Drosophila melanogaster: one gene and its partners. The protein of the gene in region 3 interacts with the protein of the main gene of each other region in a pairwise test. Each region holds a gene or a part of one and is shown on either strand. Other genes may lie near its edges.

Region 1 (8,615 bases), on a different chromosome or scaffold from region 3:
CTGGCCATTTGGCTTGTTGCTTTGTGGCTTTGTGGATGTCTCGGCCATCGATCAGCGATGAAGACCATAATGGCACCTCCCCTCCCCCGACGCGTTTCGTTATAAAATTCGCATAAATCAACGCAAATAATTAAGCAGTCGCCCGAGTTGCTAATATCGAGAGTTTCCTATCCATCTGCCCAGACGCGGGTCACCCGTCCCATCGCAACAGAAATATCAGAAGTAACAAAAATCCCAAGTCCCAGAGCAAAACAAAACAAGACAAAGCAAAAATCACCTCAAAAACACAAATTAACAAATTCACTTTTGTGGTTTTTACTCATTCGCACAGTGCGAAAATGAATAGCAAAAGTGCGAGACGAGCTGATTCAGAGATAGTTGAGATACATAGGTTGCAGATGGATTTACATTTTAAGATTGCGATTATGACAGGCAGAAGTATTTCAAGCCGAATTGATGACTGTTTAATGGAGTTGGACAGGTGATTTCGATTTGTTAAGCGGGCTTTGGGTTAAGTATCTAATGGATATCACATCATTTTACTATTTGGTATTGCTTTTGTAAACTACTTTTATTTTCTTGTTCTAAGTCCACTATTAGCGGAACTAAATGCCCATCGAATCGGGCATTAGCTCAGCCCAACCGAAGAACAAAGAGCTCGTGGACATGGAAAAATGTTCAGATCCTAACCATGTTAGTGGGCTATCCGACTAACGCCTTTCGATCCACCTGTGCCACCGTCTGTGTATGTTTGCTCATGTGTTTGGCCAAAGAAAACGAAACTTGGAAGGTGACTACTGGTCTTGGCAGATGAAGCTGCTCCGGGGAAACCGGTGTGCAGGGTGGTGTGAGCGGGGATGGTTTACATTTTCGCAGCGGTGTGGAGTGTCTCTACGAGTATGAGGAATGGCCAAAAGAGGCAACAATCAACAATGGCCATCCCGACAGCTGCCGCGGAGATAACTCACAACGCACGACGGATCGTGAATAACTACACAATGAAGGGGCTACGATATATTTTGTATCTAAATTTTTTCGGGTGTCATAGATATGTGAGTAGTTAGGTATTTTGTGTTTTGCATCATTTATCAAGCTCGTTTCGCTGGGGTTAATCAGTAAGGGAAGCCGCGATCATCTCGATCCCTGGCCAAGTGCATCGAACGTCTATATATGTGCGGCTCGGGCGGACCTTTTGCCGGGTCGCTTTGGGCCATGTTGAAATGCAATTGGCTACGCCCAAGAGATGTTGCCATGTTGAACGGGGCGTATGAGCAATCAAGGCAAATCGGAAAGAAAAGAGTAAAAGCAACAGTGTTTTCACACGCCCCGCCGTGAGCATCGAACAAAAACACAACTAAAAACAAAATCGAAATGTGACTAGTCGTAGGAATAAGAAATACGCTGACTTGTGATAATACTGCAGGCATACAGCCAACTCATCCCCGAAATAAGACGTCATCAGCACGTGGCCAGCCATAAATATAATGAAAATAAAATCGAACCAATTATGAGATATATATATATATATATAAATAGATACACATTTAGGGATGCAGCTGACGCAAAGAGAGTGCAATCTTTTCACGGTTTCGTCATATATTTTCGTTTTCGGCGCGACGATGACGTTTTCAGCACTCGTGCCTCGGGAAAACACCCGTAATGTGAAAACTGTGTGCCGCCTAATCCGTTAAACTGGCCGATTTCATGGCCCCGCTGGCGTCATGGCTTAAATACTATATACCACAACTAGTGGATGCACCTCACCTGGTCATATGTTCTTCGGCGATTTGTTTTGCTCTGGTTTGTCATCCGATGTCGGGCACTTTTGGCGCCCATCGCCATTATGGTACTATATAGCCAACTTATAAATATAGATGTTTGTTTTGCCACGTCTAATAGTCAACTGAGTCTAGTGCATTTCGCCCTGCATTTTCACTTCTGCAATCGATTGGCAACCCTCGGTTTAGTGTTTAACTGCATTTCACCATAGAAACTAATTTTCTACTTGGGTAGTTGTTTCAAAAAACCTATCCGAAGACTATCGAAAGGATACCTATCCATATGTAGCGCATGATAATCATTCTGTAATATTGACAATTAAATCAATTTAGAATGTGCATATAGTAGATTCCTGTGAATTGAAGGCTCACATGGCCCACTTGCAGTTGAAAACGCTAACCGCAGAGTGCTTAAAAGCTGATTGCTGGGAAACACTTAATGGGCGCTAAGTTAGCCGCAAAATACAGTCGCTTAAGAAGCGGCTAACAAGTGGCTAACCGACTTTGCCGCAGCGAATGAATTGGCAAAGCCTTTCAAGCCGTTTAGTAAGCCCAATAATCGGATGCCCCACCGCCGGGCGCCCTAACACCACCCACCGAACCAACCACCCACTCGGCAATGAAATGATCGATCTATCTTTCCCATGCTTGAGCTTCAATCGGCGATGTTTTTTTTATGCGGTTATTAATAAAAATGCATTGGCCATCCCTAGCCGTCGATAGTGAGTATCTGTGTGGAAATCGGACGCACTGCATCTGTGTGCGGTGTTTATTGTGCAGCTTGTAAATCATTTTGCGTCAGGCTGCGTCCGCTGCCGTCTGCTGAAACTGCGGCGCTTTGCTGACGCTGGTAAACATGTGTACGACACCAAAAACAGCAGCACATGCTCACCGAGAGCCAAGACGGGTCTGCACACACAACTAAGGTCAAAGTGGTGGTAATTGATTTAAGCCCGTCTTTACAGTTCGGTATAGTTGCCTCAATTAATTTTATGCAAATGCACTAAATTTCATAGCATACAATTTTTAATGCAAATGATAGCTTGAAACTAATTCTGATGTAACTATACAATTAATTTTATTAATGCACTAAATTTCATAGCATACAATTTTTAATGCAAATGATAGCTTGAAACTAATTCTGATGTGCTTAAAAAAAAACTATACCGAACATTTTTAGAGCTGCCTTTAATAGTACTCCAAATGCTTAAACTTTTTAATTGTTAAATCATTTTTGAATCATAATCCAAGAATTTTTAAAGTTCTCTGCCTCATTTTCTTGACCTCTACTGTGGTTGCTCTCGTATTTTGCGAATGGAAGCTTAATATTTTCACCATTTTTATGATGCATTTTGAGCAGTTTTCATGCAAATTTATGTCGTCATTGTGCGTTGTCCAACCTACCCCCACCAGCCACGCCCCCTTTTTTATTCAAGTTGCATTTTTCAGATTTTTTCCCGACCTGCCTTCTCAAACGGATTGAGCAAACAGTTAGCTTCTTGGCCGATTTGGCAATGCGCGCTGCACATTGCGTATACGCCGCGTGTGCTATTAGCGAATTAGAAGAAAACACCACAGCGGCGTTTGAGTTTGGAAAATACAAAAAAACAAAAAACGAAAAAGTCACCAACACCGATAAGCCGAAAGGGAAAACCAAATACATACATGTGTTTCCATTGGCAAAAAAGTGGCTGTTGCCGGGTGAGCTGGAGGTGGAGTTCGAGTCTGAGTTGCAGTTGGAGTTGGAGTTGGAGGAACTGCAGCAGGCCAGGTGATTGATATCGCAACCGTCGGGAAAGAGGTTGCGGCAGGGGTAAATCAAAGGCAGAGTCGGCAGAGGCGGCGGCAAGAGGGGATGTTGCTGGTGTGTTTGGTGCTGCTGTGCGTGTTGCAGGTGTGATGTGTGTGACTGCTGGTGTGTCGGGGCATTGAGGTTCTGTCTGTAGCAGGAGTTGTTGTTGATCTCCTGGAACAAACTGCTCTCGGTGTACAGTGAGGCCTCGCACTTAATGGCCGTTGCCTGGTGGTGGCTAATGCTCGTGTTGCTGCCGCCCTCTTGCTTCACCACAATCAGCGAGGCAAGCCGATCGCGCATCATAGACCACGATTCTCCGTTAAAGAACCCAAAATTAACAATGATGTTGATGGTGATGATGGGACACAAACATAAAACGCACACAGGACGGGACAACACAGATCACACACTATATGGTTTCTAAATAGGCACCTGTTTGGCGCCCCGAGCGGCGCTGGTGATCCAGCACGACTGTTCCGAGTTGGGCTGGGATTTTGCCTCAATTTTCTTGGCTGCGGCAGGAGTGGCCGAAGCTTTTGTCGCAGTAGCTCTGATTGCAGTAGTTATTATCGGGCTTCATTTTTCTGTCCTTGCCCGGCTGTTGTTTTTGTTGTGTGTCCTTAGACTTGAACTTGCCTCCTTTTTTTTTTGGCTTTTTTCTTGTTGCCTTTCCTTTTTTCCGGCGTTTGCGCAGTGGCCAAGTGACGATGTAAGCGACGTAACGACTTACGCACGCTATACTATATCAACTGGGGTCTCTATATACATATACATATATATTCGGTTGTGGTAGTTGCAGTAGTGGGAGGCACAAGGACGTTGCTTACACTTTACACACTGATACACACACGCGCGCAATGGGCAACACAAAAACAATTACTACTGTTCTTCAGCTCACGTGCTCGTTAAAATGTTAGCAAAACTTTCAGTTCAAAAATATCTGTGTCTTGTCTCTCAGAAATGAAACGAAATTTGAATTACTATAGATTAATTTACTGCACATTCGCAGCGGGGTAAGATAGATTAAACAAACATACGCAGCGTTGCCCACCGAAATATATGCATTGTTCGCTTAAGAAAGGTAAAGGTGAAGTATACGCCGCGTTGTCAACCGTTGGAAGTTATTACGCATACGCCGCGCTGTCGACCGGCTTCCGTTTCCGCATAGAACGAATGCACGAATCGATAAAGAACAACAACTTGTTGCAATTGTTTAACTCTTGAGCACTCACACCTATGTTGGCTTTGTGTTTCGTTAATACTGAACGCGATGTTTATATAGTTGTGTGGATTAAAGTCTTAGTTGGCTGACTTAAGATCGGAAATTCAGAACCATCGAGCTCGCCTCGATATAAGTTCTATATTTTGTATTGGCTTTTCCGTGAGCGGTGGCTGTTTGGGCTAAAGTTGTTAACAATGCGGCGTCTGTGACGCGACTGAACTTATCTTTACGGTTACACGCGACTATATTCAACGCGTCGCGTCGACAGCGCTGCCTCAGCTGGCGCCGTGCTGCGCTCGCGAGAGCGAGTGAGAGCGAGAGTGAGTGTGCGATGGAGAGGGAGGGGCGACGGCAAGCGAGCGGGACACGACCTACCTTTGCGGCCCGGCTATTACGTCATTTGGGGCCAACAACTGAGCGCAGCTCGTGCGAGGAAAATCGATGACGTCGTTGGCAGAGCGCCTGCGCCGGAAAATCCCCTCCACCCATTTTCAGCGACCGATTTTCCGAATGCAGTCCAGTGGGACAGTTCGGAAGCGGAAATTATGTGCGTCATAAAACCGACGTTGGCCATCCCTTTTGCTCGCATCTGAGATTGATTGGGGCTCTTGGTGCCGTTTCACCTGCTCCGGCTTACCACTCCGCCACCCACTTTTCCGCTTTTCCAACCGCCCACTGGGTATCCACTTCTCGCCTGCTGCCAAAACTTCCGTTTCTCTCAGTTATCGTACACAGGAAACATGTTTATTAATTTCAGGATATATAAGGACGTACAATTTGTAGGAATATTCCCTTATGCACATTGTACATCATCTACACACTTGTCTTTAAATATCAATCTCTTTTCCATGTGTAGACTGTACTCTAATGCATTTATAAAAAGCATGTTTTTAATGTTGTTTGTTTTTTTATTGTTTGTCTTAAACTACATATTCTTCTCAGTGTACTAAGTCTGTGTGGGCATTCTGTGGTGTCGTTTTGGTGGAAAGGACTTCCTTGCTCTCGTGTGTGTGGGTGTATTCAAAGCAAAGGAAAATGGACCAGATTTCGAGGAATATGTTTATGTGAGTCAATCCCATGATGGTGAGCGTGGGTGGAAAAGTAAAGCTATCATGTTAAATAGGAAGATAGAAATTTCGAAAAGAATAACAAGTATCATATGGCAAGAATTCAATATTCTATTTATAGTGATTTACTACTTTTGAATTTGGTTTATATTTATGCTATATAATATAATTTATAATTATGCTATAAATATTTCAAATTGAAATTGATATGCAAAACGGACTTTTAGCCTAGAAATGAGTCTGGTTTTCCTTTCAACTTAAATCACGATTTTATATTTATCTCAGTTACCCGCTTTTATTCCCTATTTCACTCCAAGTGCTAAGACAAATCGATTTCACACAAGATCCCAGGCCAATTTCGCTTTTCCACTTAACAAAATACCATCCTGCCACTTCATAAACCAGATCACTCTTTCCTCATCCCCAAATATAAATAAGCTGCGCCACAAATCATTTGGCCGATATAACTGGCAATAACACGATCCGAGCGATTTTCCCGCCCCGCGAGCCGTCGGAAAAGCGGGAATATTAATGCACTTTACCATTGACACCGGCGTTTGCAGCTCGTAAACAACAACGAGGAAAACAATAATAACGCAAAGCCAGTACAAATCTTCTCTCCCAAGATCGGCGACACACGACTAGAGAACGGTAAACCCGAAGACGCGGCGTCGACCGCGCTGCCAGCGTCGACTGCACAGAGAGTGAGAGTCTTGGCGCTCGGCACCCGAACCCAAATCCAAATCTTCGGGATCCGCAGACTCGTCTTTGCGGCGGCGACGTCTTCTGGCGTTTAAGGTTTCGTTTTCATTCGGCTTGTCGGCTTGTCGGCATGTCGGCCGCTCGTGTGCTGGACTGCATTCGCTGTGGCTATTTTTAGACAGGTTCCAAGCCACGTTTTCTAACTGTTGTTAGCGTACGAACCGGAGATCGCGGGCTGTGCACTTGGGCCTCTCCATGTGGAAGCCGCAGACAAAACGTGAGATCGCTGAGTCGGCCGGCCGACTGCTGCGTCGACCGCGACAGAGCCGAGCGACTTGGCTTTCTGGGCGCAGTGGCTCTTCCTTTCGTTTTCGGCTACATTTTTTCCCATAATGCTTTTGCCCGGGTCTCGCGGCTCTGGGTCCGGCTCACACTGCGGCCCATTGTGGCTCCGGGGTGCGGTGTGCTGTAATGTGCCGCTCTGTGGTGTGGCTTCCCATGTACATATATATTATTGTAGTTGGATTTGGGAGCGACGCAAGTGGAACTGGTCTGTGGCAGGCACCATGTGCATTCAGCACAGTGGCTGTGGATCACTCGTAAAAGGATGATGCCTCTCCATGGCTATTAAAGAAGTAGTTTCTAGGATAATGTGGTACTACCACTAGAGGTAATGAGTAGTGTTCCTAGTTATTACTCCGTTTATTCCCGATCTTTATCTATTTTTGTTATAATCTATATCTATAATCTTAAAAGCAGCTTTAGTGGCATTTCTATATTCATTTCATTGTAATATGAGAAATGGAAATATCCACGTTACTCATTAGTGGATGTTAATGGTCAGAGTTTTAGTAGTTCCATGGCGTATTAAGCTTTCTAGAAACCGCCTCCAAATCATATGGACTCTAAGCCACTGTTTCGGCCAGCTTTCTTGCTGTTGTCGATGGTGCTGTCGCTGTTCCTTTGGCGATTATGGTGGTGGCAGAGGTGGAGGTGGTGGTGGTGGTTCCAGTGGTGCTAGTGGGGCTAGTGGTGCTGCTGCTGTTGGCTGACCTGCTGGTGGCCCCAAAAAGTGCATGCAAACAGCTTAGCGTTGGAGTCTCCTAGTTGTTGCTGCTATCGCCGATATTGTTGCTGTGCCTTGGTTGTTGTTCTTGGGCTGCTTCCAAAGCGATTCGATTGCCATTGTTGCTGTTGTTGTCTCTGGCGGTTTTATTGGCTGTATTAAGCATGACATGCCAAGCCAAGCCAAGCCAAAGTCGCAGTCTCCGTCGAAGTCGACTTTGGAATCGGCACTCCTTGCTTTTGTCTCTCTGCCTTTTGTCTATTATTTATTGTTGTGGTCGTAGTAGTTGCACTGCGATGATATTCTAAATGTGCCGAGCCAAATTCGCTTCGTTTTGGCCAAGTCAACTTGGCTGGGCCTTAATGCATGTATCATTTTCGCATCGTTGCGCCCGCCAGTTCGTGAGTTTAATTTAAGGAATTTTTGCTCTTTTTGATTGCTATTTAGGCTTTGATTTTGCTGCGGAAAAAAATAAACGAAAATTCGCCCCAACTCCCCCCTGTAAATTTCAATTAGCATGCGGCACTTTGCATTGTTTCTTACCTTTTTACTTCTTCTATTGCTGCCGCATTTGCAACGGCGCCTCTCGGCTCATTTGCATAAATTGCATTTTGGGATTCGCCAACCCTTTTTTATAAACTTCACTTTCGATGCCCACTTTTTGCCTTGCCCAAAAAATGGTGACTTCCCCTGGCTAACTGAAAACAAAAACAGAAACAAAAATAAAACTAATACCAAATGGAAAACGAAACCAAAAACTCCGCTGAGTGCTTAGCCTGCAGGTGCATTTTGTGGCGAATTATTGTCATTATTTTTTTCAGTCTTCGTTTAACTATTAATATTTGTAACTTCACATAAATATATAGGTGTATTCCAAGTGCCCTGGCAATTTTGCGCTATTTTGTACCTAAATAACATTTTTGTGGGGGCTTTAAAGGCGAACATGTCATAACATCATCAAGTATACGCCCAGTTGCCATGGGTA
Region 2 (7,554 bases), on a different chromosome or scaffold from region 3:
AGACCGAATGCGTGATATCATTTTCCAACTGAAACAAGAAGTTGACGGGAAAAAGAATCTAATTGAGGAAGAGAAAGAAGTTATTAACAATTTGCGTGCACAAATTACCAGCCTGAATCAAATCGAAACTATAAAAAATCAAAATGCCAAGACAAAAATATTGTGCGAGGAGTTGCAGACTAAAGATACCGTACAGACCGCTAACAAGCAGGAATCTCAGGAAGTCCTTACTCTCAAGACATCCCTTGCACATCTGAAGTCCAAGGTGTGTGAACTGCAGAAAAAACTTGAAAAGCAGTCAGAGGACGAAAAAATATCCGAACTGCAGTCGGATATTGGAGAAATAAGCGAGTGTTGCTTATCCATGGAACTGAAGCTAGCAGACATTGTAAATTGGCAGGCGGAGGAGTTGCGCCCTCTAGATCAGCTTCAAGAAAGCGGTGTCGAACTGCAGCACCATAGTACCACAGCTGAAGAATCTCTAAATGTTGAGAAGCCTATCCAGGAACAAACTGAACGAACTCTTACCACCGAATATGAACGCCGAATCGAGCAACTTGAAGAATCATTACAAAGGGCACAAGAGGAATTAAGTATTCTGGAGAAGCGAAAGACAGATGAGAACAAAAGCCTTCAGCTTGAGTACATGGCGAAAATTGAGACGAGCGAGAATGAAAACCGCTCCAAATTCCGTGCATACTGCCTGGATTTAAAGGAAACCCAGAAACGCTACGAAGAGCAGCTACAGCAGACCAATGAAAAGCTCGCCAGTGTTACGACTCAGTGTCAGGTGCATTTGGATGTCATTAAAAGATCTCTTCAAGAAAAGATTACTCAGGCCGAGAAGGAAAGAAACGAATTGGCTGTCCGACACAAGGCAGAGCTTGAAAAAATCAGGGAAACGCTGAAGGAGAAGGAATCTTCTTACAAGGAGAAACTAAGGCAAGCGGAGGAGGAGCGCGATAAGGAAATTTCTAGGCTTGAGGTGATGCGAAACACAATAGCAGAGCTGCATAAAACGAATTCTGATCGGGAAGTGGAACTCGAGGGAGTGAAAATGGAAAAATGCCAACTTAAGAAGCTGTACGACAAAAGCATGTTGGAGCTAGAACAACTGCAATGCACTGCCGACCAGAAAAGTTCGGATTTGCTGCCAGGCTCGTCGAACGAGAACATCGATGACCTGCAAAAGAAGTGCGATCAATATGTTCAGGATTTGGAGCTGTTGAGGGGCGAGAAAGCAGAACTGCTATCGGAGATCCAGAAAATCAACGGACAGCACTCGAATACCATAAAAAAACTTGAGGAAATCGAAGCGGAAATGATTACACTAACCACTCAAAAGGAGTTGGAGAGGTGTGAAATTGCAGAAAAGCTGGAGACTTTCAAGTCCAAGGAGGCAGATATCAAAGAAGCTCTGCACTGTGCCCAGCTCAGGCTTCATGCCTACGATAAGCTGGTGTGCGAGTACGAGCGGCTAAAAGGCTGTCTTTCGGATTCAAATAAGTTGTCGGAAAATCTGCAGAAGAAAGTGGAGCGTTTGCATGCTGAACAGCTTGCTTTACAAGAAGGAATTTCCGGCCGAGATTCAGAGATTAAACAGCTTCGCTCTGAGCTCAAGGACGCCATTGATGAAAATAAAACAGTGAGAGAAGCAAAAGTAGGCCTGGAAAATAGTCTTAAAGCAGTACAGGAAAATATGTCTGCCCAGGAAGGTCAGTTTAAACAAAAGATTGCTGATATTAAGGGTTCAGTAGACGAGCTTCAGATTAAACTAAAATCTCTGCAAGAAGTAAGAGACCATCTAGAGTCTAGAAATGAAGAGCTTAAAAGAAAGCTAAAAGATGCTCAGGAACTACAGAACATGGTGGATAAGGAGCGAAAGCTCAATTCCTCTCTACGAGAAGATTTTGACAAACTGGAACAAACCAAACTCGATCTCGAAGAGCAGCTTCGAGCCAAGAAAGTAGAAATCGATCGCCGATCCAAGGAGCTTGGCGAAGTGACCAAGGATTGCGAAAATATACGATCCGATCTGGTAAGTTTTATTTATTTAACGCCTTCACTTTTGTATTCTATTATATTTTATTCTATACCAGGAAGCTCAAACTAATGATTTCCTAAAAGAAAGGGAAACTTTGAACTTGACTATATCCGATCTTCGGTTGCATAATGAGCAATTGCTAGAAACCTCGAAAAATTATCTATCAGACATAACAGCAGCAAATAATTTAAATCTCGAAATGAAGAAGAATCTTCACGATCTCACAAAAGAGTGCAAGAGCTTACGTTCCGATCTGGTAATAATTAATCTGGTAATCTATCTGGTTGATTACAATATAGGTAATTAAAATTTTTCAGCAATCCAAAGAAGAATATTTCCAAACGCAAAAGCAACTGTTGGATGAAACAATTTCTAATCTAAAGGAGGAAAACCGCAAGATGGAGGAAAAGTTGAGTTCGGGTAACAAGGCGCTCAAAGAGGATTGCGAAAAGCTCCGTTCAACATTGGTAATATTAGACTTGTCTTTGTAGGTTATTCGGTCGCTAATGAAATATTTATTTAGGAATCAAAGGAACTTATACTGCAACAGAATAAACAAGAGTTAGAGGAAAGGCTGACTGTTATTAATGAGAAGAATGGGAAAAACGCACTACTTGACGCCCAGTTGAAATCCAATGAAACCGCCTTTACATCACTGCGAAAGGCATGGATTAAGCAAAGTTTAGCCATAGAAGCGGCCAATAAAAGAAGCCTCGAGATGGAACAGAAGGTTGATAAACGTACGAGGGAGTACGAAGAACTACGATCAACTCTGGTAGAATAATTGCAATCAAAGGCTCTTATAAAATAGCTTAATGTTTTCTCTTTAAATCGCCTAGAAAACCAGGGAAATCAACTTTCGATCGGAGAAGGAACGCATGGACGGCACCATCTCTAGCCTGTTAGAAGACAAGCGTAATCTTGAGGAGAAGTTGTGCACAGTCACCGAGCTCCTGGCTAAGCTAAAGCGCGAACTGCCGGCTTTACACACGCAAAAAGTGAACGGAGGCGATGTGTCCATTGAGTTGAATTCCTCGAATGGATCGCCGACTCCTGCAGCTGTTCCAGCAACAAAGAAGCCCCTGGACTGCAATTCCGCTGAATGTGTGCCAAAGGTACGTATGATCTTCTAAATTTCAAGCATGTAATATTTTTTTTATTTCTCTCGTAAAGAAATCCAGCAGCCTAGAGACTGCGGAGCGGAAGAATCGACGGATGACGGCCTACGATGAGAACCGTAAGCAGTTTTGCTGAAACGACTTACGTGACGGCGGAACTACGACCGTTCCTTTAGGTAAGTTAAGGTTTGCTTGGCCGCGAAATCGTCTAAACTTTATGTGGTTTTAACTAATATTGCAGGTGGCAATTGCCACTGCGAGCAGCGGAGCTGCAAACAAAGACTGAGTTCGGACTGGAGGCAAAACGTTGAGTTCAACGATGATAAAAAAGATGATTAATGTTATCCAAGTATTAGGGATTTCTTTTGTTAGGTGTTATCTTGCAAACGGTGGAATTCCACATCATAAAGTTTTCTATTTATATTTACGCCCTAAGTATTTGTCAAATACTATCAATACAAAAATTACAAAAACAATCGTGATCGTAGTATTTAAATTTAAATCTGTATTATGCTGGTTTTTGTTTAATAGTTAAATTCGATAAATAGTTAAATATTGTTAATTAAGAAATGTTTCCTTCATCATGTGTAATAATATTTGGTTCATATGTATAGCATTGAATAAACTATTTACATTTTCTTAATGTTAAAATCAGATTCGCATAAGTTGCTGGTTCTAATAATAAAAGACATAAATTACTTAAATGTAAATCTAAATAAGCATAACGCTTCTTGTTTGAATTCCCGATTGCACCAATCGATAAGTCGATAGTAGCGCAAATACATATTCTAGTGTTGTGCATTGGAAAATTGACGGCCGCTTGAGTGTTGTGTACGGCGTCAGTGTTGAATAGCTGCGGACGCAAAACTACGTAAAATTACGACAAAAAAACAGCGCCCCGCGAAAAAAGGCCATGAACTCGGCAATCAAGGTAGGTTCAGCCGCTCCACCACATCCGCCGGCAGCTCCGACCGCGTTGATCCCGTCGCCAGCGCCTCCGCGCGTTGCAAGCGAGAAAAAGGCGGCGCGGGAGAGAGTCGAGAGTCATTCGTTTGTCTCACTCCTGCGAGTGGGAAATTTGTTGTTCCACCGTGAGTGGGCCGGCGGGCGGTGGGCAGGGGCGGTGCGTTTGTTTTGAATTTGCACGCGGTAACAACAAACTGACTCCGGATGCAAATCCGCATGCACTTGCAGGTGGGGGAGATATTCACGGCCGCCGGACAGGCGTTCAGCAGACTGGGCGATCTAACCATGCAGCTGCATCCCAATGCGGAGTCGCCATCGGGGTAAGTTGATTCTATGCGGTGGAGTCGCGAGTTTTGTGGACACTAATCGGAGTGTTTCTGTGTGCCTTGTTCCCTCGCCACGGCTGCAGGAAGTGGACGGACGAGGAGATCGACATGCTGCACTCGTCCATAATGCGCTTCTCCGACGACCTGACCAAGATCAGCCTAAGCATCAAGAACCGCACCGTGTAAGTGATCCTGTGCTCCTGGCGAGGGAACCGGCTGCCCAGTGTGTACGTGCTAGTTTTAATTGACCTTCCCCATTGCAGTTCTCAGATCCGCCAGGCGCTGAAGAAGAAGGCCTTCGAGGACGCCGGCATTCCCGCCAAGCAAGTGCCCGTCCAGCAGGTGCAACACGTTCTCCAGACGCTGCCACAACAGCAGCCGCAGCAGCCCCTTCAGCAGCCACCTCCTCAAGTATTCAAGTCACAGCCAATCGTGCAGCACGTACAGCTGGTGGCGCAGCCAAAGCAGATCATCCTGCATCCACAGTCTAATACAACTACGACGGGCACGACGGTGACTGTTAAGCAGTACCAGCAGATGCAGAAGGCTGCGGCATTAGCGGCAGCCCAGGCTGCAGCCTCGACGGCCAACAACACGCCCACCATCACGGAGAACATCATTATCCAGCAGCCCACTTCGACTACGGCGACAGTGGTGCAGCAGCCACATATGGTGTCCACCTGCTCGTCGACGCAGATCGTGGTGCCCGTTGTGTCGGCAGTGTCCACTGTTCCAACAGTACTCTCGCCCACGGTGGTGATTGCCGACGATGTGGTTAGCACCTCCAATCCTCCAGCGGCAGCGGCGACAGTAGGATCGCCAGCAGGGGCGCCAGCAGGCTTAAAGTGCGGACCAGACGTGTCCATGACCCTCAATCGCATCAATGTCCAGGAGAACGAGGTGGACGTGGAGGAGTGCCTGCCCGCAGAGGTGGTCAAGCTGGATTTTGTCAGCGAGGAGGTGGCCGGGTGAGGTTCGAGCCCTCGGAACGGGCTGGACTTCTTCTACTAGATCTCCGGCCGCAGAACGAATCACGTAACTTGGAACAGAACCGCTACAAATCCAGATCGAGAACTCTTAAGCAAAAAGGTTGAGATGCCGCCCTAGCCCTAAGTCTAAACTGTTAAGTGTTGTCATATTTGATATACCCTGAAATCACCTTGTTCCGGGCCCCGGATGACAAATGAATTGTGCGATGTGGAGGACGAGTCTGTGGATCGCCAGCCACAGAGCGTAGATATTAATTGCGGAGCGTATATGCGCCGCCTAGACTTAAATTTACGCAAGACACAATAGTGCAAAGTACATAACGACGATCGTGTAAGTTGAGAGTGAATAAACGAGCATTATTTTAAGATTCGGCGATCTCTGGGATTTTATTGGAGTTAGGAAAGCCCAAGGAGCGTAGAAATTTAGTTATTTGCAATGGCTTCTACAATCTCATTGCTGTAATTTGTACTTCATACTTTTATTTTGATCAGACTGTATTATAAAAGCATATATATAATTATATTTTTAAAGCACCCAATGCAAACTCAATTGTGTTTCTAATGGTCCGCTAAATTATATTGCATTTTATCTTTATTTGAATGTACCCATCCAATTTATGGGACCTATTTTATAAACCTTTCCTTTTAAATGCACACCACGTATTTTAAATTCATCCAATTATTGTACAATGAAGTCTCGAGAAATTTCGAATGCATTTTCAAATTTCGTTCTGCTCATAATTGCGCTCGCAACCCATACATTGCCATTCGCATGTCGGATTTCAAATCCGCACTTTCAGAATTTCCAAAGCGGGTAGCAAGAAGAAGAGCGGCTAATAAAGATACGGATACATCAACAACAACAGTCGGAAATCCATTGTTCCCCACAAAATGAGACTTCGTTTGCAAGTCCTGGTGGCCCTGTTAACCTGCTCGTCCATTTCCGTCTCACTGGCCTACAAACCGGTGGTCATACTCCATGGAATTCTATCAGGAGCCGAATCGATGGCCTCTCTGGTCCGGGAAATCGAAGAGGTTTGTTTTTCGATTCCCCTTTGTTATTGTTTACAGTGGCAAGGTCGAATTTGACGCAAACAACGCAGTAGCACTGATAAACTCATTTCGTCCGTTTGTAGTTTCATCCTGGCACTATCGTCTACAACTGCGACAAGTTCAATGGATGGTACAGCTTGGAGAACGCCTGGCGACAGGTCGATCAGGTTAGGGATTATCTCAACGAGGTGGGCAAACTGCATCCAGAGGGCATCATTGTGCTGGGTAAGGCAGCCGATTTTCATTAGAGTATTTTCTTTTAGTTACCAATACTATGCCTTTTTCAGGATACTCACAAGGAGGCCTTTTGGCCCGGGCGGCCATCCAAAGTCTGCCCGAGCACAATGTGAAGACCTTTATATCTCTATCCTCGCCACAGGCGGGGCAATACGGCAGTAAGTGAGATCAAAGTTTAAACCAATGAGTAAATTCTATTTATATAGATGCATAACTGCGTCACATTTTTCCGGGCTAAACTCTTTTAAAGCTTACAAGAAACAAATATATTATGTAACTGTGTTCAAAAATTACGCAGTTGGGTTATAAAACAAAGGGGGATCACAATGGTTCAAGTTTTTATTTTTTGGTAATATTTTCAGCTAGCTTCTTGCATCTAATCTTTCCCGACTTGGCGGCCAAGACAGCCTTCGAATTGTTCTACTCGCGCGTGGGACAGCACACCTCGGTTGGTGGCTACTGGAACGATCCGCAGAGGCAGGATCTCTACCTGAAGTACAGCGAATTCCTGCCACTGATCAATAATGAGAAGAAGACCTCCAACTCCACATCTTTTAAGATGGGAATGGTGCGTCTAAATAAGTTGGTAATGATCGGCGGACCCAACGACGATGTGATTACTCCGTGGCAATCGAGGTATGGTTTACTTAGTCGGATATTATCAAAGGTGAAATAACCACAAATCGTATATATTTCCTCAGCCACTTTGGTTACTTTGACGAGAATATGGATGTGATTCCATTTATTAGGCGACCGATTTTCACCAGCGACTCCATTGGCATCAGGACGCTTCAGGAGGCCGGCAAGCTTATCATTGTGGT
Region 3 (8,484 bases):
GAAGCAGCTGCAACATTACCAGCAGCAGTTGAACTACTTACCCACTGGGAAGGCCAAAAAAAGTGTTTTTTTTTTTTTTTTTTGCCAACAGAGCGGTAATTAATGGCAAGATCTGAGATTGTTGTTGTTAGTAGCAGCTGACAACAAGTGGCAAGCTGAGGCGAACTCCTTAATTTGTTGAGTGACCAAGCAAACAAAACGACCAAAAGACCGTACAAACAAACAATCGGAGGTCTTTATGAGATTTGGGTTAAGATTGATTGGGGACTTGAGTCCTTCTGGGACTCCTGATTGATTGTTGCATTTTTTGATTAAAGTTTCAAAAAAGTTAACTAAAGAGAATGCTGATATGATTCAAAAAACGGACTTATACTGATTCTTCTCTTAACAACTGTGTTTAATTCTTAGTATGCATTATCACATTAAGCGTTAAAAATAAATGACAGCCAATGACCTTCATTATTTCTACCCTGACTAAAGCATAATTACCAACAATTAGGAGGAATTAATTGCCAACAAAAATGCAAATCGAATTGAGTTGCGCAACCGCAGCTCAGTGTCCAATTATTCTTAACTACCTTAGCCTTTTTTCCACGATTTCTGCACCGCCATTGCGTGAAGATTGAATACAATAAATTAACTAGTTTTTGATGTTGTGTCATGCAAAATAATTTTCGAATTATTATGCCTTAATCCCGGTAATCAATCACAGCGCCCGAAAAAACAAAAGACTCAGGCGACAAACTCGAAACGGGCCGATGAGAAATATGCAAAACAAAATTCGGGAAAGGAGGCAAGTGGAAGAATTTCTTTTTCTTGCCAAAAAATAAAGCAAAACCGATAACCAATGTAATAAATAATGAATACATATATTTATGTACTTATGTATGTATGTATGTTGCTACCACTGGTAACTTTCCTGGGCCTTTTCATTTCAGCCATCATTTAGTTGTTGAAGTGCGGCCAGCACCTTCTTTGGCTTGGATGGTGCTGAAACTGATGGCCAATGAACTCCAGCAATGAAAACGAAATGTATAAAAAACGAAAACAACAAGAACACAATGCGGCCACGAAGAAGAACCAAAGAACGCGACAGAGTCCGAAACAGAAACCGAAAGATACAAAAATTGTTGTTCCTTTTCCCCCTTTTATTTTTTGGTAAGAAGTCAATGAACCTGGCCAACTGCGTGCGTGTGCGTGAGCTTGAAATAAACTTGGCTAACCAAAAAACGAAATGAAATGTAAAGAAAGAAATGATTGTTGCGCCCAAAAACTGAGAGGGAAGGGCGGGAACGGCCAGAAAGAGCCATCAAAAGCGGGCAAAACGATGATGAGTTGGCCAAGAAGCCGGGCCAACAAGCCAGCTGTAGATGCCGGCTTTTTGGGCCTACGCATATACCCGTATGTCTCTCACATTAACTTTGTGAGGGTAAACCCCGTACGTATTCGTGTTTTTTTTTTTCTTCTTTTGGGTGTTAAATAATACAACCGCCTAAAAGGCACTTGTTGTTGGCCAGAGGCTTTTGCTTTTAGCCCCAAACGAATTCATATTTATTTAAAAGAGAATGCTTCCTCTTCCATTTCTCAACTTTCAATTATGGGATACGCGGAATTTGTTGTCGATCGGGATTCCATTCCCTAAGACGCAATAGTTTTATGCTAACAATTTTCGAGAATCACTTTTGTTTATTCGTTTAGTTGAAAGTTCTTTCCTTTTCTGGACGTCTAAAAATTAATGATGCACGATTAAAAAGAAGAAGCTATTCCCATTAATAAATTGATATTCAAATTAGCTGAATGTGTTGAACTTGAAAGCGCGTTCCTTTCCCCAACTAAGCGTAGATTACACATTTAATTACCGCACCTATATATATATTCGTATTTATTTACACTTTCAGCCTAATGCCATGATGATGATGATTTATTATATATTTAAGCCGTCTGCCTAGAACACTTTTATTTTTTCGAGCGCTTAAAAAACTGTTTTCCTCCACGGCCAAATGAGTGATGATGTATTAACTATTAAAATTATGTTCATGCTCGTGTGGTGTTTAAGAATTTATTGACCCCATCGCGTCGGGTTTTTGCTTTCAGCCAAAAGAGTTCTAATGGCTAAACAAAAAAGGTTCTAATCCCAGTTGCCGCACAGAGTCTTTCGCTTTTTTCCAAGCCAACTTTGAATGCTTCAATTGTTATTTATAGAGAATGATGGCAGCGGCAGTCGAGTGTGGCAGAAACTAATGAGTTAGGCCTTTATTCCCGGCCACAAAACGGATGCGGATTTACCTTTTGATTCGCATCCTATCCTCCGTCTTTTGTCTTTTCATCGGGCGTTAAGTTCAAGGTTGGCTTGGCCAGCTAAAATATTGATTACACCACGTGGTCAATTACACTTAAATTATGTAAATGCTCGTTTTTCAATTTGTCTTGGCAGACTTTAATAGAATGGCAATACCCATTTACGGAATGTTAAGTGTTTTTTCCCACTAATTATATATTTATTAACCATCCAGGTTTTTGACGATATGCTCACCCATTTTTACGACTGCGGCTAGAGGCTTGATGGAGAGGAAGTTGGTATCTACTCAAAATGTGGTCTCTGAGTAAGTGATTTACACTTTATTTATAGCGCAATTTTATAGAGTTCGATTAGATCATTAATGGTTCAGAGATTGAGTCATGGAATGACTGGCGTTTATGCACAGATGTCCATTGATCTAAAGGAGCTTTCAAAGTTATACTTTTACTTTTAACTAAACTCATTTTTTGAATAATATTACGAATTGGGAAATACATGTAAAGAAATCTGTATGAAATCGAAGTTGTTTCACCATTCACTGGAGAGCTGCTTAGAAGTATTGCATAAAGTTAAGAACCGAAATTAAGTAATCCATCACAATGATAAATTACCTTGTAAAGTGATGCAAAAAAGCTCTCACTTCCCATTTTGCGAGCGCGACATTTGTTTGCCAATTGTTTGCATGCAATTATGGCATCATGAAATTTGATACCCAAAAAAAAAAAAACAGGAACAGAAATAAAACTGAAACAGAAACAAATCATGAACAAACCAATTACATGCCGTGCCAAACTTCTGGCCAAGAGAGAGAGAGCCCCCACCAAACGGGTTAAGAGCATTGAGAACAAGTGGCCCACGGACGGCATTTTGTTGCGCTTGGCTTGCGCCGATTCTAAACTTGTTAGAAGAGTGGTGTTGTAATTTTACGCTCGCATGCTCAATTTACGCTCGCTGGCCAGACTGCGGGTACACTGAAAATAAAATCATCGCAGTCTCTTATAAAAAGCTCAGCTCGACTTAAAGAAGTACGGATTAGGCTGGAAATATTTGTAATGGTTTCTTATTTTACTTAAAATTACAAGTAGGCGTATACTTCATTCATTCATTTCTTTTCAAAACAAGGTTAAACATTTTTACAACTTACATATCCGAAAATTAAAAAGCTTGAATACGAACTTTAGTTTCAAAAGTACGGTCTCTAATCCCGTCATTTAATTTAAATTCTAGTACTTTTTATAATATTGCTGCTTTTAAGATTACTATATGATCATCGATATTGCTTTAAAAATATTGTATAATTTTTTTATTTTTGTGTGTTAGAAGAGTTTAGAACTACATATTTTGTGCGAAAAAGAGTGGCGGTATTTGCCAGGGTATTGGTGCTGCCAAAGAGATACCTGCGCCCGCGCGCTCACCTTGAATGAAAGTTCTGGCCTGTTGCGCTCAGTGCGCGCGAGTGAAAGAGACGGATAGGGTGAAAGAGAAAGAGAGGGGCAGAGAGCTGAGAGAGCGCCGAGATGTGGTTGTGATCAGTGTAAATGGCACTGCGATCAAGAACCTGAGACACCTGAGCTGCGCCCTACCTGTGTGTTGGTGTGTGCTGCTATACGCTGGTGTGTTTGAAGAGAAAGAAGAGAGTGCTGGGCGTGCGAGTGTGTGCGTAAGGCCGTGTAATGAAATGCTGAAAAGTCTATCTGTCTGCGCAGTCGACGCGCTGCCGCTGCTCTGCCTTCAGAAGCCTCTAACGACATCGACATTGAAGTCGCACCGCGACTCATCCGTAGTTTCAGTTTCCCGTAAGCAACAAAACGATCGAGACATGATTTCGTAAGACGCACGCGTTACGCTTCTACTTGCTTCAAGACAGCAAAAAGACCACTGATCCACCAGACTTTGCAACATACACCCACCCACAAAAAGTTCTGAAACTAAGTGTATCTAGAAGCTACAATTCCCAATTCAAAGTGATTTGTGTCTATCAGCTAAACTGACAAAAAGTGACATACACATAAGACTGCCCCTAGTTATGCAAATGAAATTCCACTAGACCTAAGCCAATTAGTTCAATTCCCCAACCAGTGCACTTGTGTATCAAAAATATAGTTTGCTCAACTATATTCGAAAAGTTTAAGAATAACAAAGTGTCTATTATGATCGAAACTTAAATAGCCAGCAAGCACTTTTCGGCTTCGGATTGGATTTATTGCGTAATGGATTTAAATTTACCCGCAACATTAGCAGCAACCTCAACAACACGGAACGGATATGCATTTAAACACTGAACATGGTAAGTATTTCTAAATGATTTACCTTATATAAACTTCGTAACTTTTCCTAGCTGCCTTTTTATTGCTCCAAGTCAATTATATAGCTGACAAGCTAACGATTGAGCTTGCTAATAGAATTCGATGAAGGGTTTTTATGGGTCTAAGTTTACAGATTGAAATTGTCTAGTTTGAAGCAGTTCCCGAAAGTTCTGTAAAGAAAGCTTTCTTCAGAAGACTGTCTTCGTTGGAGAAGCTTCAGGAAATTTTAGAGCGGGTTTTTTTTTTGGAAGGCGGTCATAACAGAATGAGAATGAATACAAATTGTTCTTTTCCCATAAATTGCATAATAAATCATACTGGCCACTGGTAATTAAATCTTTTCTTTCAAATCAGTTCTTAGGTAATTTCTAATTTCCAGTTAGAACTTTTTTCAAAACTTCTCTTTTAATTTATTCTTAGATAATTTTTCTTTATTTCAACTTTTTTATTGACATCTTAATTGCTTGGGTTCTATTCCTGATTTTCAACTTTTTCTTCACTAAATCTCACATTAAAGCCATCATAATTTATGACTAGCGTTTAAAATTAACCATGATGTTACACAGCAGCAGCCAGCAACATCTTATTATTCTTAACACCACGACGAAGACTTTCACATACAATTTATGCTAATCATAAGTTTTCGATAGAAAGGTTATATAATAGTACGTCGCACTGGGCGAGAACAAGTTTTCAGCAAAATGCCCAAAAAAGCGGATAAAAAATGGTATGATGATTAATTACAGGCAGGATAGAAAAATGGCATAAGCAGCTAAAATTTCTTAGCCGCAAATGGGAGATGGCAGAATGATGGGGACTGACATTTCATTAGAAAAATCATGTATAAAGCTACGCCAATCTCCTGTCCCTATATAAACAAAAAAAATATATATATATATATATATAAAATATATATTTTAATAATCACATCAGCAAAAACAACAATATAGCACTCACAACACAAATAATTAGACAAAACCAGTTTGGGCTTAAACAAATCGCACAAACAACAAAATGGGGGTAAATATACGCCGACGGAGGGACAGAGAGCAAATTATAGGCTGGATAGCAGATGGAGCGAGATGGCGACAGATAATTGGCGACGTAAGGCAGAAAAACCTTGACTTTGACTTTAAATGACTCGACAACTGATCGCACGCTAACACGCTCCAACAGACGGCGATAAAAGCAACAACGCCAGCAGCAGTGGCAATAAAATATTGTATAAACAAATAAATTGAAATCGAAATCGAAATGAGAAGAGATGAATGAACAACACAACGACAAGCCGATCGAATGAAATCAAAACTTATTGCGAATTTGTAATGCGATTCAAAATCACACGATGATCATTTCAATATCAAGGTCATTAGCAGCTGCAGCTGTCCAAGTTCTGTCGTTGGCCACCTGCTCCCACAGAGCTGTCAGTCTTCCCTCCTGACTTGATTCCAAATGGCATTCGAAATGAGTTATATCTCTATCCGCCCATATATTGCTTATATAGCTTGGAAACAGCTTGCTTCATTTTGCAATTTAAATGAGCTCGCCGTCTAAGTTTGTGTATGAAAGCAATTCTTTTGATTCCTCTATGGCTTTTCCCTCTTCTTCATTTGTTGTTGTTGCTGTTTCTTTTTTTGGCACGCATGCCGAGAGTTCATTGACTGTCAGCCGCAAACATACACACATTCTATGCCCCCACCCCACATAACAAATGACTTAGGCAACAAACTTGCCTTCGTTCGGTTTTCGTTTTCATTTCGAGCAACAGAAGATGCTGTGCGCGTAAGCGAGACAGAGCGTTAGGGAGAGGCCAAGGACCTAGGCCAAGAATTAGAGAATCCCCTCCGCAAATCCCCCCCTCGAAAAGTGAATCTGCCGCTTCAGCTAGCAGCAGCAGCAGCCGCAGCAGCAGAAGAAGAAGCCAATGACCAGGAGGGGAAACAAGTTCAGATCGGCTCATCCTTGGGCCAGGGGCACGGTTTGAGTTTGGGGCAGGTTGCAACAGCCAGCTCCTCTATCTCAGCCACCTCCTCCTGATTCCCGGATCCCCGGATCACCCCCAATGGTACAGGCATCGCACATTGGGAATCATTTGCCGTGAAAAGGGCGTTCAACTGGCAAATGCTCATGGGCACATGGCGTGCTCAACTGAAGCAAGCCAAAGGTTCTTGCACTCAGCAAGTTCTTCTGCTTCTGCACTGGAAACAAGAGCTTAACAAGTGCTCCATTTAAAATAAATGAAGTTAAAAAATCAAATAGCATCGGAAATGGAGTTAGGATTCTTAAAAGCATATTCAGCTAAAAAAAATTCAATTATGGCTAGATTTCTAGTATATAACAAATCAAATATCAGTTATAAGTTTTTTCTCCGGTGTTCTTATGTCCGGTTCTCTGCCACTTCTAAGGCCTGATGAAAAGGGAATCAAATCACTCTTACTCTTGGCCAGCTTTTTTTATTTGCTTGAGCCAGGGTTATTGACTCGCTCGTGGTCTTACCTTGGGCGGTTCTTCCTGCCTTTTGCTTTCTGCTGGAGCTGCATCTTCGTTTGAAATTGTTGCTGCCTTGGCCACTTGCCACGCACAAGAGGATGAGGCTGAGGAAGAGGTGGAGCTGCCAAGTCATCCGCGGCAGCTTCCCAGGTAACATACAAAACTAATAAGAGGCTTAAGAGAGGCGGCAAAGAGAACGCCGACGCACAGGTGGGATATACAGGTAGAAAGAAAGAGCGAACCAGGAAGAAAGTGTGGCCAAGCAAAAGAATGGAGCGAAAGAAGTGGTAGCGCAGCAGCAGATGAAAAGAAAACAAGTTCAATGACCGACCTACTCAAGCGCGTTATAACCAAAGCGCGCACACACACACACACATGCATACACATACGCACTGCGGAGAGAGGAGAGAGCACATGCGCATGCGCACAGCTCGAAGCCGAAGCCGATGTCAAGCCGAAGTTGAATGCCGAAGCCGAGTTACGAACCTCACTTGACGTTGAACTTTGATGCGACAGGTTCTGTGTCAATGTTGTTGTTTTGTTGCCTTTGTCGCCTTTGTTGTTGCTGCCTTGACACTATCGTGTTTAGCTGTAAATGCCCACATTGTTGTTATTGTCTGCAGTGCATAGAGTGTGACATTGAGCACTCTGCGAAAAAGTATCAGCCAACTCTAAATTGATAATATTAGATAATATATACACACAGTAGTTCTCTGAATGTAACATAAGCATTAAATATCTGTTATTTACACAAATACGTTAAGAACCAATTTCTGTCAGTGCATTGATGATCATTGATCGAAAGATAAAAGAGTTGGCTGTTACAATAGGAAAGGGGGTGTTGGAGCTGTCAAACTATTTGTTTAGGCCCCTCTCTTTAGAACTGGAAATCAAATTATGCTCATTTACGCGCCATGAATACGTAATCCCCCAATTTGCCGGCCACTCGTAATTTGACTATGACAAAATGGCTTTTTATTAACCTAACGGTACATTCACCGGCTGTACTCCACCTATTACTTTTCGGTTTTACAGTTGTATGTCGCTGGCCATTAAAAAACGTGCTTGGCGTTCTTTATGACTATTTCGTTGGCGGTTAGATTCACAAAGACAACGCCGAAATGAACTCTGAAGAGGTCTAGCTCATTCGAATAGTTTTGCATAATGTCCCTGGCACCGAGACTTCCGGCTGCAGCTCTAGTTCATTGTCAACGGTCAATTTGCAATCGAATGGCAGCACAACCCCCACAAACAGAGCATGCGTTGCAAAAGAGAAGAGAGCAAAATTTGGGTTAAAAGAGAGACTGCAGCGAGAAATGCAGCGAGAGCTTTGCAACGTCTGCAATGCACTTTAAAAAACGGGAGCTGAGCTTATGAAAAATAACATGC
Region 4 (8,363 bases), on a different chromosome or scaffold from region 3:
ATGACTGACTGACAACCGCAGGGTTTTGCAAGGGGATGGTTTATTTACTCGGCGAACAACCCCTCGAAAAGCATCGCATCCCCAGGATCCACCATCTCTTTTCGTCCTGTGCTGTGGCGTTTATTGAGCCGAGTTTCGCAACAGCCTCGTCCTGCGTCCTTCGGAAATTTCTGAACTGTCAACATGTCAACTGTTTGCTGGTCCGCTAAGGTTATTTCTGTGGGTGGAGTGGGTGGCTGGGGTGGCTTGGGTGGCTTGGTTGGCTCTCTCGCTCTTTTCGCTTTTTCGGCCTGTTTAAGCGATTTAACGCATCGCAAGGATAATGAAATTTTGATTATGCGCCGCTTGGCTGGTTGTCCTGGCACAGTGCCGCCCTCTGTGGGGCGGATTGCTGGCTGGGTCGCTATGAAATTAGCGTCGTTTAGGAGGTCCTTTGAAAATTGGGGAACGGAATTAAATTCGGCGAGCTGCTAATTATCGTTGGAAAAGGATGTTTGTGCAGCTGTATCTCTTTCTGAGTTATTTAATTAGAAGAGTGCTTAAAATGTTAATGACTTAGTGCCTTTAGTTTGAATACGAGTAAAAGAAACTATTAAATTTGATCATTCCATTAATAAAACAGAATCTAGCGCTGTTCTCGTTTCCAGCTGGTATAATAAACAATTTGCCGACTGGGTAATTGCTCACTCTCGGATACAAACAATTATGCAATTCAATTCGGAATTAATTGCACAATAAAACACCAAATTCTCATTTAATTGCCTGACAAAAAAGGCACACAAAGCAAAGCGGCAACCCACATAAATATGCAACACCCACACACAAACACACACACCCACTCAATCATGGCCAACTACATATATACGTCCAAATAGCCCCACCTCTCATTCCGCAGCCATAGCTTCTACAATCAAACTGGAATCGGAATCGGTCGGCGGGATATATAAATTCGAAAAATTATGAAAAACTATCAAAACATTTACATACGCTCGTTGCGGGGAAGGAAAGTGAGGAAAACGACGTGATCTTTTCGATCCACGCACTTAGTGTTGGGCAGCAGGCTTTTTATTAGCCAAACCTAGCTAGTTTTCAATATGTTTCAGTTAAAAGTTTTCAAAAATTAACAGAATCTGTTCTAAAGCATATTTCTGAAGTTATTTCAAAGTGAACATAATATTTCTTGTTTGTTGTTTCACTGCAAGACATAACAACTTTATTGGGCAAACATAAATTGCACATTTCTAGTCACATAAGGTGAATATTTTTTTAATATATTTTTTAATATTTTATTAGCTAGTTTTTAAAATCTATCGCAGTCATCACTGCACGCACGCAAATCGGCGGCCATTTATCAAATGACCAACTTGGCCGAAGCGTGGACTTTGTTGGTGCTTTTGTTATTGGCCGACTTGCTGCTGCTTTTGCCGGTTTCGTTTCATCTCGAAGTGGTGGGATCGAGAATAGGTGGGGGGAGTGGAGGGGGCTGGAGCTCGCTTATGATGTTTATTGAAAAATTAATTTGCGCCTCGTTGTTGTATTGCTTTTTTTCGGCGCTCATTTGCGTATTTCAAAGCGCAATGAATAATGATGGTGGTTAAGTAGTGGAAAATAAAAGAAGAAACGCTCGACGTGCTTGGCCTGAGAAATTAATATTTGTAATTGGCTATAATTGTTTATGCCAACGGCACAAAGTATAGAAAACGAGACGCAGACAATGATATTAACGAGCTGAGGGGCCTCTCATCGCATTTTGCCGCCATTTCGAAATGTTTAATTGAAAAGAAAGCGGAATTGCCGGGCATCGTAATGAAGAGCTCAAGTTTTGGGAAGTTGGAAAAATTTTAATCAGTCAAGAGGGGCGTTGGAAAAGTGGTAAGAGGTATATCAAGTGTTAATTGAATGGCTGGGAAATGTGAGAAGTTCATAAACGAGTTTACTGTCTTGGTTTCTTTTAAGTGTAATTAAAAACGATTTCGGAAAGAGTTTGAAAAAAGTTCAGAAATTATATAAAAATATTTCTAAATTTCACCCAACCCATTTAGGCAAGAACTCAAATTAATTGGCTAGAATTTCCCCAATCATGCAGAGTCGTTTCATTTTCAGCATCGTTTGCAACTAATTAAGGCAACCACACAGCCATTCGTCAACTGTTCTAATTGAGCTCTTTATTTTCCACCCACTGGCAATTGTCATTAAAATCCTTTCACCAACTTGCCGCCCGAAAAGCCGAGCGAACCCGCACAATCCGACGCCCATTTCCCATTTTCACAACTTGGTCCTTCGAGCAGCGGAAAACAAAGGAGCAGCTGAACAATGGCTGGCAAAAGTTTTCAAGCCAACAATTTCACATAATAATCCTTAAAATGAGTTTAATTTGTAGAGCGAGAATTATAAAGGGTGCGGTATTCCCGCTCCCTCCCTCACTCCACCCGCCAACCTTGCAATTTATGGAGCTTATGGGGGTTGGCAAAATTCTATATAATCCTGCATATTTCACATTTATATGTATGTGATTGATTCGGCCGGGTTCCCGGGACGTTCGATTTATGTGGACCGATCCGATTTTTATGGCTTATCTCCTGAGGTGGAGCAAAAGGGAAGAAAAAACATAATTTCCTGACCGAGATTGCAGCTTTGCGATAATGCCGCTCCACCCGACATTTGATGCTTTTGGGGCCCTGATAATGATGGGCTTATTATTTATTATATTGTTCTTGTACGCTAAGGACATGTAGGAGTGCCAATTAAAATTGAAAAACCGCCTGGTCTATATATACATACATATATATGTACATATTAGGCGTACATAAAGCTTAAAAAATCACGCCAATTTGGCCAAATGAAGTCATAAACGATAAAGAGGGAGATAGAGGGAAAATGGAGATGGAAGGAAAAGCCAGAAAACCAAAGTGGAAATGGACAGGCGTTTGCCGCCGCTGCTTGTTATAAAATGCTAATACGCGCAGCAGCTCGAAAAAAAAGTGGAAAAACGCTTTGAAGATTGAATTATTCAATAATAATTAGGCGTGCGACAGGGACGGCTATACTGCGGGGCAGCTACACCATCTCTGTCTGTACGGCAAGAGTGCGGCAAACTCACCACACTGAAGCGAGAGCGAAAGAGAAAAGAAGGCGGAACAAAAGTCAGAAAAGTGGAGAAATACAAGACTCACACCGGAAAAAAAGAGCGAGCGAGCTAGTCTCGAAACCAATAAAAATGGTGTCGCACGCGGTGCACTCCACCACGGGAGTGAGAGAGAGGCACGCTCTACACAGCCGGTTTCCCACCACCAATCGTCGAGTGCGTCGGTGTGAGTGAGTATCTGTGTGGCAGGCAGCGGTGCATCCGAAACTGCGACCACAGTTTCAGTCGCAGAACAGACGTGATCTCAAGAGGACGTGTCTCTCTCTGGAAATAAATAGCCCCTGAAAAGATACAAAACGCCGCGTGTGACAGTGTGTGTCTGTGTTTCCCAAGCGTGTGACGAACGAGCGCATTAATTGAAAGATAATCAAAACAAATTAACAGCAGACCATGTCTCAATGAACCAATTAACCGGCGCACCTAAAGCACAGTATTAACGAGCCACAGTTACACAAACGATCGAAAGGCTTTATGTTAAAGCTCAGCCCAGCGAGCATGACAGTTACAGGTCTGCGCCAGACGATGACCAGTCCCACGGTGCCGCCGAGCAGTAACACTCCCGCGGGTAACCTCATCATCACCAGCAGCAGTAGCAACAGCGGCAGCAACAGCGGCAGCAACATGAGCAGCGGCAACATGACCAGCAGCAACCTGACCAACCTGAGTCCTAGCCACCCGGCTGGCCTGAATGCCCTGGCCAGTCCCACCTCGCCGTCGGCACTGCTGCTGGCCCATCAGCAGCATCTGCTGCAGCAGCACCAGCAACACCAGCAGCAGCAGCAACAGCAGCAGCAGGCGGCGGCGCTCCAGCTGGCCGCAGTGCATCCGCCGGCCCACCATCTGCACAAGACCACCTCCCGACTGAGCAACTTTAGTGTGGCCTCTCTCCTGGCGGACACGAGGCCCAGAACGCCACCCAACCAGGCGGCGGATGGACCCCAGAACCTGACCAGTTCGGCGGCCACCTCGCCCATCTCCCAGGCCAGCAGCACGCCGCCGCCTCCGCCGGCCAGTGCGGCCGCCCAAGTTCCCGCCAACACCTTCCATCCCGCCGCCGTCGCGCACCACGCCCACTTGCTGCAGGCCGCCCACGCGGCTGCGGCGGCACATGCCCAGCACCAGGCGATGGCCGCCCAGCTGCGCCAACAGCAGCAGCAGGCGGACGCCCGGGCCAACTCGCCACCCGCCTCCACGAGTTCCACGCCCAGCTCCACGCCACTGGGATCCGCACTGGGATCGCAGGGCAATGTGGCCTCCACTCCCGCCAAAAATGAACGCCATTCGCCGCTGGGCAGCCACACGGACTCCGAGCTGGAGTACGACGAGGAGATGCTGCAGGACCACGAGGCCGATCACGACGAGGAGGAGGACTCCATTGTGGATATCGAGGACATGAACGCCGACGACTCGCCGCGCTCCACGCCCGACGGCCTCGACGGCAGCGGCAAGTCGCTGGAATCGCCGCACGGTCCGCCGCCGGGCTCTCACATGCAATCCACGATACTTTCCCCGGCGGCCCTGGCCTCCGGTCATGTGCCCATCCGCCCGACCCCCTTCAGTGCACTGGCCGCCGCGGCGGTGGCCTGGACGGGAATGGGCGGTGGAGTTCCGTGGCCAGGAACCAGACAAATGCCGCCCTTCGGACCGCCTGGCATGTTTCCGGGAGCAGGATTCGGTGGAGGTAAGTGTCGTTATCCAGTTCTTTGTGGGGTTTTTGTCAGCTTGTTTTCGGTTTTTGTACTTCCTAGAGGGGAAATGATAAACCTTATCTGTTACATGTGCTTAACTGTCCTGTCCTAAGCGATATTTTAAACTCATTTGCAATGGAGGATTCAGCATGGGCATAATTAAATAATGGGAAAATAAAAATATATATAGGAGAGAATATAGAACTCAAAAGGTTTACTTCAAAAAAAATAAAAACAACCTCAACTCTCTTTCGAAAATATTTTCAATTTAGAGCCTTAACATCAAAGTAAATATGAGTGTATATATAGTTACATTTCATATATTTATTTATAATTAACTGTAAACCCATAAACATGAACTTCTGAACCCGTGAACAATAGAAATACGCGAATTCCGCTTGGGAGCAAATTCCCCATTAGCAGCCAGCGATGTGTATTCAAAAACGATTTATTTAATGGAGGAATTTCAAACCACCCACCCCACCCCTCATTGTTTTATGCCCCATGTGCGGTGGCAACTTTATCTACACCATTTTGTGTCGCATTTTAATTCAATTAACTGCCGCCCCTCGCCTTAATTGGCATCGATGGTGACTCTCCGCTCCTGGTCGGACGCGAGCTGCGGGTGCTCCATCATGGCCACCTCGTCGTCATCGTCATCATGGCTATGGAATGGAAGTGATCGTGACTGCAGTTTGTAGTCAAAGTGCGTGGCAATTATTGCGGGGCCTTAAATAAAACAATGAAAACTGCCTGATTGCGCTGGGCCCATTATTTGATGATGATGATGATGATGATGGCTGATGGCTGATGATAGTCGCGTCGGTTCTGATTTGACTCAATTGGCCACGTCTGATTATTCATTGCACTCGCTGGCCAGCGGCGTTTTTCGGTGTTTTCCGGTCTGACAGCCAGCCAGCCCCCCATTACCGTTCCCGAATTGGAAAATCTAATAATAAGCGCGTAAAAAGCGGACTGTCTAACCGACCAGCCAGACTAATTGAAGCGAGTCTGGCTGTTTAACTGGGCGATCTCTATCTGCATGCACAGTTCACACTTTGCCTGCATTTCCTGGACAAAAAGCACCGCGGGTCGTAGGGAAAAACTGGTGGAAAATCGGGGAAAACACTCGACAAGTCACACTTTGATGCCGGACTGACATGTGAACTTTACTCGGCCATCGCGAACTCTGCGTTTCCGCTCCTTAAAGTTGCTCAAACACATTCGAAAAACTCGGAAAGGGCGGTGCAAAAACGGTGGGCAAAAAAGTGTAAATTTGCTTTTTATATGCAGAACAGCAACTATTGTTCCTGTTTTTGCTGCATATGCTCGGGTTTTTCTTGCCACTACAAAGCATTGTTTTATAAAGCTGTCGGCTGTGTTTTGAAAAAAAGGGCTTCAAATGGGGTGTTGTATTAGGAAATTTGGGCTTTAAAGTAGGTTAGTTCGAGTATTACCATATTACCGCCTCATTCAAACTATTAATACATGAAATTCCAGAACTGCATCTCTAAAAGTGCTTTCATAAATTCCAAAATATTTCAAAAGGGAACTGTTCAACAAATCGATATAAATCAATCTCGATGTGGGCCATCAATTCACCGCCCTTCATCAACCACTTGAGCTATCTTTCGTTCCTTCCCTATAAAGATGCCGAGATGAATAAACTATTCCAAACATTTGCCGCTTATTTTGTCATTTGGCTGTCAACTGCTGCATGTGTATAAAATACAGTCGAACAACTTCATTTCATTTCATTTCGTTTCGTTTCGTATCATTTGGCAGCTGTTTTTTTATTTTGTGTTGTTTTCTGGCCCTCAGTCTCGGTTTCAGTTTCTGGTTCCTGTGTTCAGCGTGTCTCATTAGCGCAGCAGGTTGCTGTCTTCTGTGGACTGATGATCCCCTGTTTTTCCGGAGGGTTTCCCTTCTGACCTGCGCCGCTATCTTCTGCGGCATTATGTCAAGTGTTAGGTACTTAGTGCCTTCGGCAAATGCTTAACTGGTAGATACAGGTTGTATCTTTTGGCTACCGTTTGTCGGCTACTTCATGGACTATTAAATTAAGCTACCATCGATTAGAGGGAACACACACACACACACACATAGTCAGTCGGCTTGAAGTTGTATGGTTTTTTGCCCTGCCATTTGATTAGCATCTTCGTGTTGCAATATGGGGAATTCCCTTTGTGCCTTCATAATTTAACTAATTGCAAGCGCAGTCGAGTCACGTATGCTGCACATGCCACCCATTTTTGCCCCCTTTAACCCCTCGACGGCCCCTGTTACTCAGCCACCACGCATTGCAGCTGCAATTCTTGGCAGCCATTATAGAAATTAATTTTCAAGCTGAACAAACGAGCAACAACTTGGGAGTCATTGCATAAATACATAGAGCCAGGCACACACACACATGCACACTATGCTTTATGGCAAGAGAGCGAAAGAGAGAGGGCGAGAAAACCTGGCCAAAACGGTGGGTGTGGCATGTCAGCAACGCCCACCCAAAACACGCAATTTTCAACAGCAACGGCAGCAATTTAAACGTTGACAGACGGCTGCTGGTTGGCGAAAAGCGAGAAGAGGGTTAAGGAAGACCCGGTGCTGTCGATAAGTGGGCAGCGAGGGGTTAAGGGGGCCGTTTGCATGCGTTTTAACACCATTTGCAAGGCTCCAAGCCGAAAGAGTCAAAAGCTAAAATAATATTTGCATTCTGCACGCCATCTAACGTGCATACGCTGTACTAAATACACACATGCAACACAGCAACGTTGGCGAGGGGGGGTGGTGCCTTCGAGGGGGCGTGTGGCGGCGCAGACATTTTGATGTATGTTTTGGTAAATAAAATTTATTTGCATTAAATTACCAGGCCAGACAAAGCGAAGGTGCTGGTGCTGCGAATGGTGATGGGTTAAACGCGGTGGCAGTGGGGTCGTTAAGGGGGGGAGTGCTAAGTGTGTGTGTGTGTGTGTGTGTGGTGGTGTGTATCTGTTAGGTTGAGAAAACATTTGCTAAATATTTGTAGACAATTGGTAGTTCAACTAATTTGAGCTGCCTGCTGTTGGATGTTGCTGCTGCTGTAGATGTTGCTGCTGCTGCGCTTGTTGCTGTTGCCGTTGCTGTTGTTGCTGCGCTGCACCTGAGTAATTAAATAGCGTTTGGAAGCTGTCATAAGAGGTGGCCTCACCCAGCCCACGGGCTATCCGAGCACTCTTATCTTGCCCAGAGGCAGCGAACTTCATTGCAAAACAGTCCAAATAGATACTATGTGGCACGCAATGTGACAAGATTGCAACAGAGTGGGCAGTGCAACAGCACTGAGCGAAATAGTTGTAATAATACTAATCGAAGCAGTCCGTGTAAACTCATCGCTGGCAACTGGTTCTTGGCACGCTGCCCACTAATTAATTGACCCGTTTAACCGGTGCGCTAGTTGGCCAACTGAGCTCCCTGCGCCCAGGACCTTCGGCTAATCATTCAGTTAGTGGGTAAACACCTATTTGGAGCTAATTAAAATCGCACATTATGAAATC

What was found.
Region 1: the proteins of Blimp-1 (region 3) and Hr38 interact in a two-hybrid assay, tested with the Drosophila melanogaster proteins (one large-scale study listed by BioGRID).
Region 2: the proteins of Blimp-1 (region 3) and CG33695 interact in a two-hybrid assay, tested with the Drosophila melanogaster proteins (one large-scale study listed by BioGRID).
Region 4: the proteins of Blimp-1 (region 3) and Dr interact in a two-hybrid assay, tested with the Drosophila melanogaster proteins (one large-scale study listed by BioGRID).

The regions. Positions count from the first base shown.
Region 1 is NT_033779.5:20,709,594-20,718,208, forward strand, and holds the start of Hr38 (hormone receptor-like in 38), read right to left. Parts: upstream 4,996-8,615; 5' UTR 3,877-4,995; coding exon 3,444-3,876; intron 2,708-3,443; exon of another isoform or gene 1,609-2,707; intron 1,414-1,608; exon of another isoform or gene 503-1,413; intron 1-502. UniProt on the Drosophila melanogaster protein: Binds to NGFI-B response elements. Plays an important role in late stages of epidermal metamorphosis.
Region 2 is NT_033779.5:11,274,038-11,281,591, forward strand, and holds CG33695 (uncharacterized protein), read left to right. Parts: upstream 1-3,983; 5' UTR 3,984-4,075; coding exon 4,076-4,093; intron 4,094-4,113; exon of another isoform or gene 4,114-4,332; coding exon of another isoform or gene 4,333-4,356; coding exon 4,357-4,448; intron 4,449-4,537; coding exon 4,538-4,636; intron 4,637-4,717; coding exon 4,718-5,426; 3' UTR 5,427-5,810; downstream 5,811-7,554. Other genes in the region: cana (CENP-ana), read left to right, coding at 1-2,038, 2,100-2,300, 2,362-2,511, 2,568-2,819, 2,884-3,159, 3,218-3,298; Ppt2 (Palmitoyl-protein thioesterase 2), read left to right, coding at 6,335-6,478, 6,580-6,721, 6,784-6,891, 7,096-7,369, 7,435-7,554.
Region 3 is NT_037436.4:5,626,896-5,635,379, forward strand, and holds the start of Blimp-1 (Blimp-1), read left to right. Parts: upstream 1-4,087; 5' UTR 4,088-4,586; intron 4,587-8,484.
Region 4 is NT_033777.3:29,553,020-29,561,382, forward strand, and holds the start of Dr (drop), read left to right. Parts: upstream 1-3,366; 5' UTR 3,367-3,616; coding exon 3,617-4,826; intron 4,827-8,363. UniProt on the Drosophila melanogaster protein: Plays a key role in the specification of proneural and promuscular cluster formation. Required for the specification of dorsal and lateral muscle progenitor cells. Regulates development of peripheral nervous system derived from lateral neuroblasts.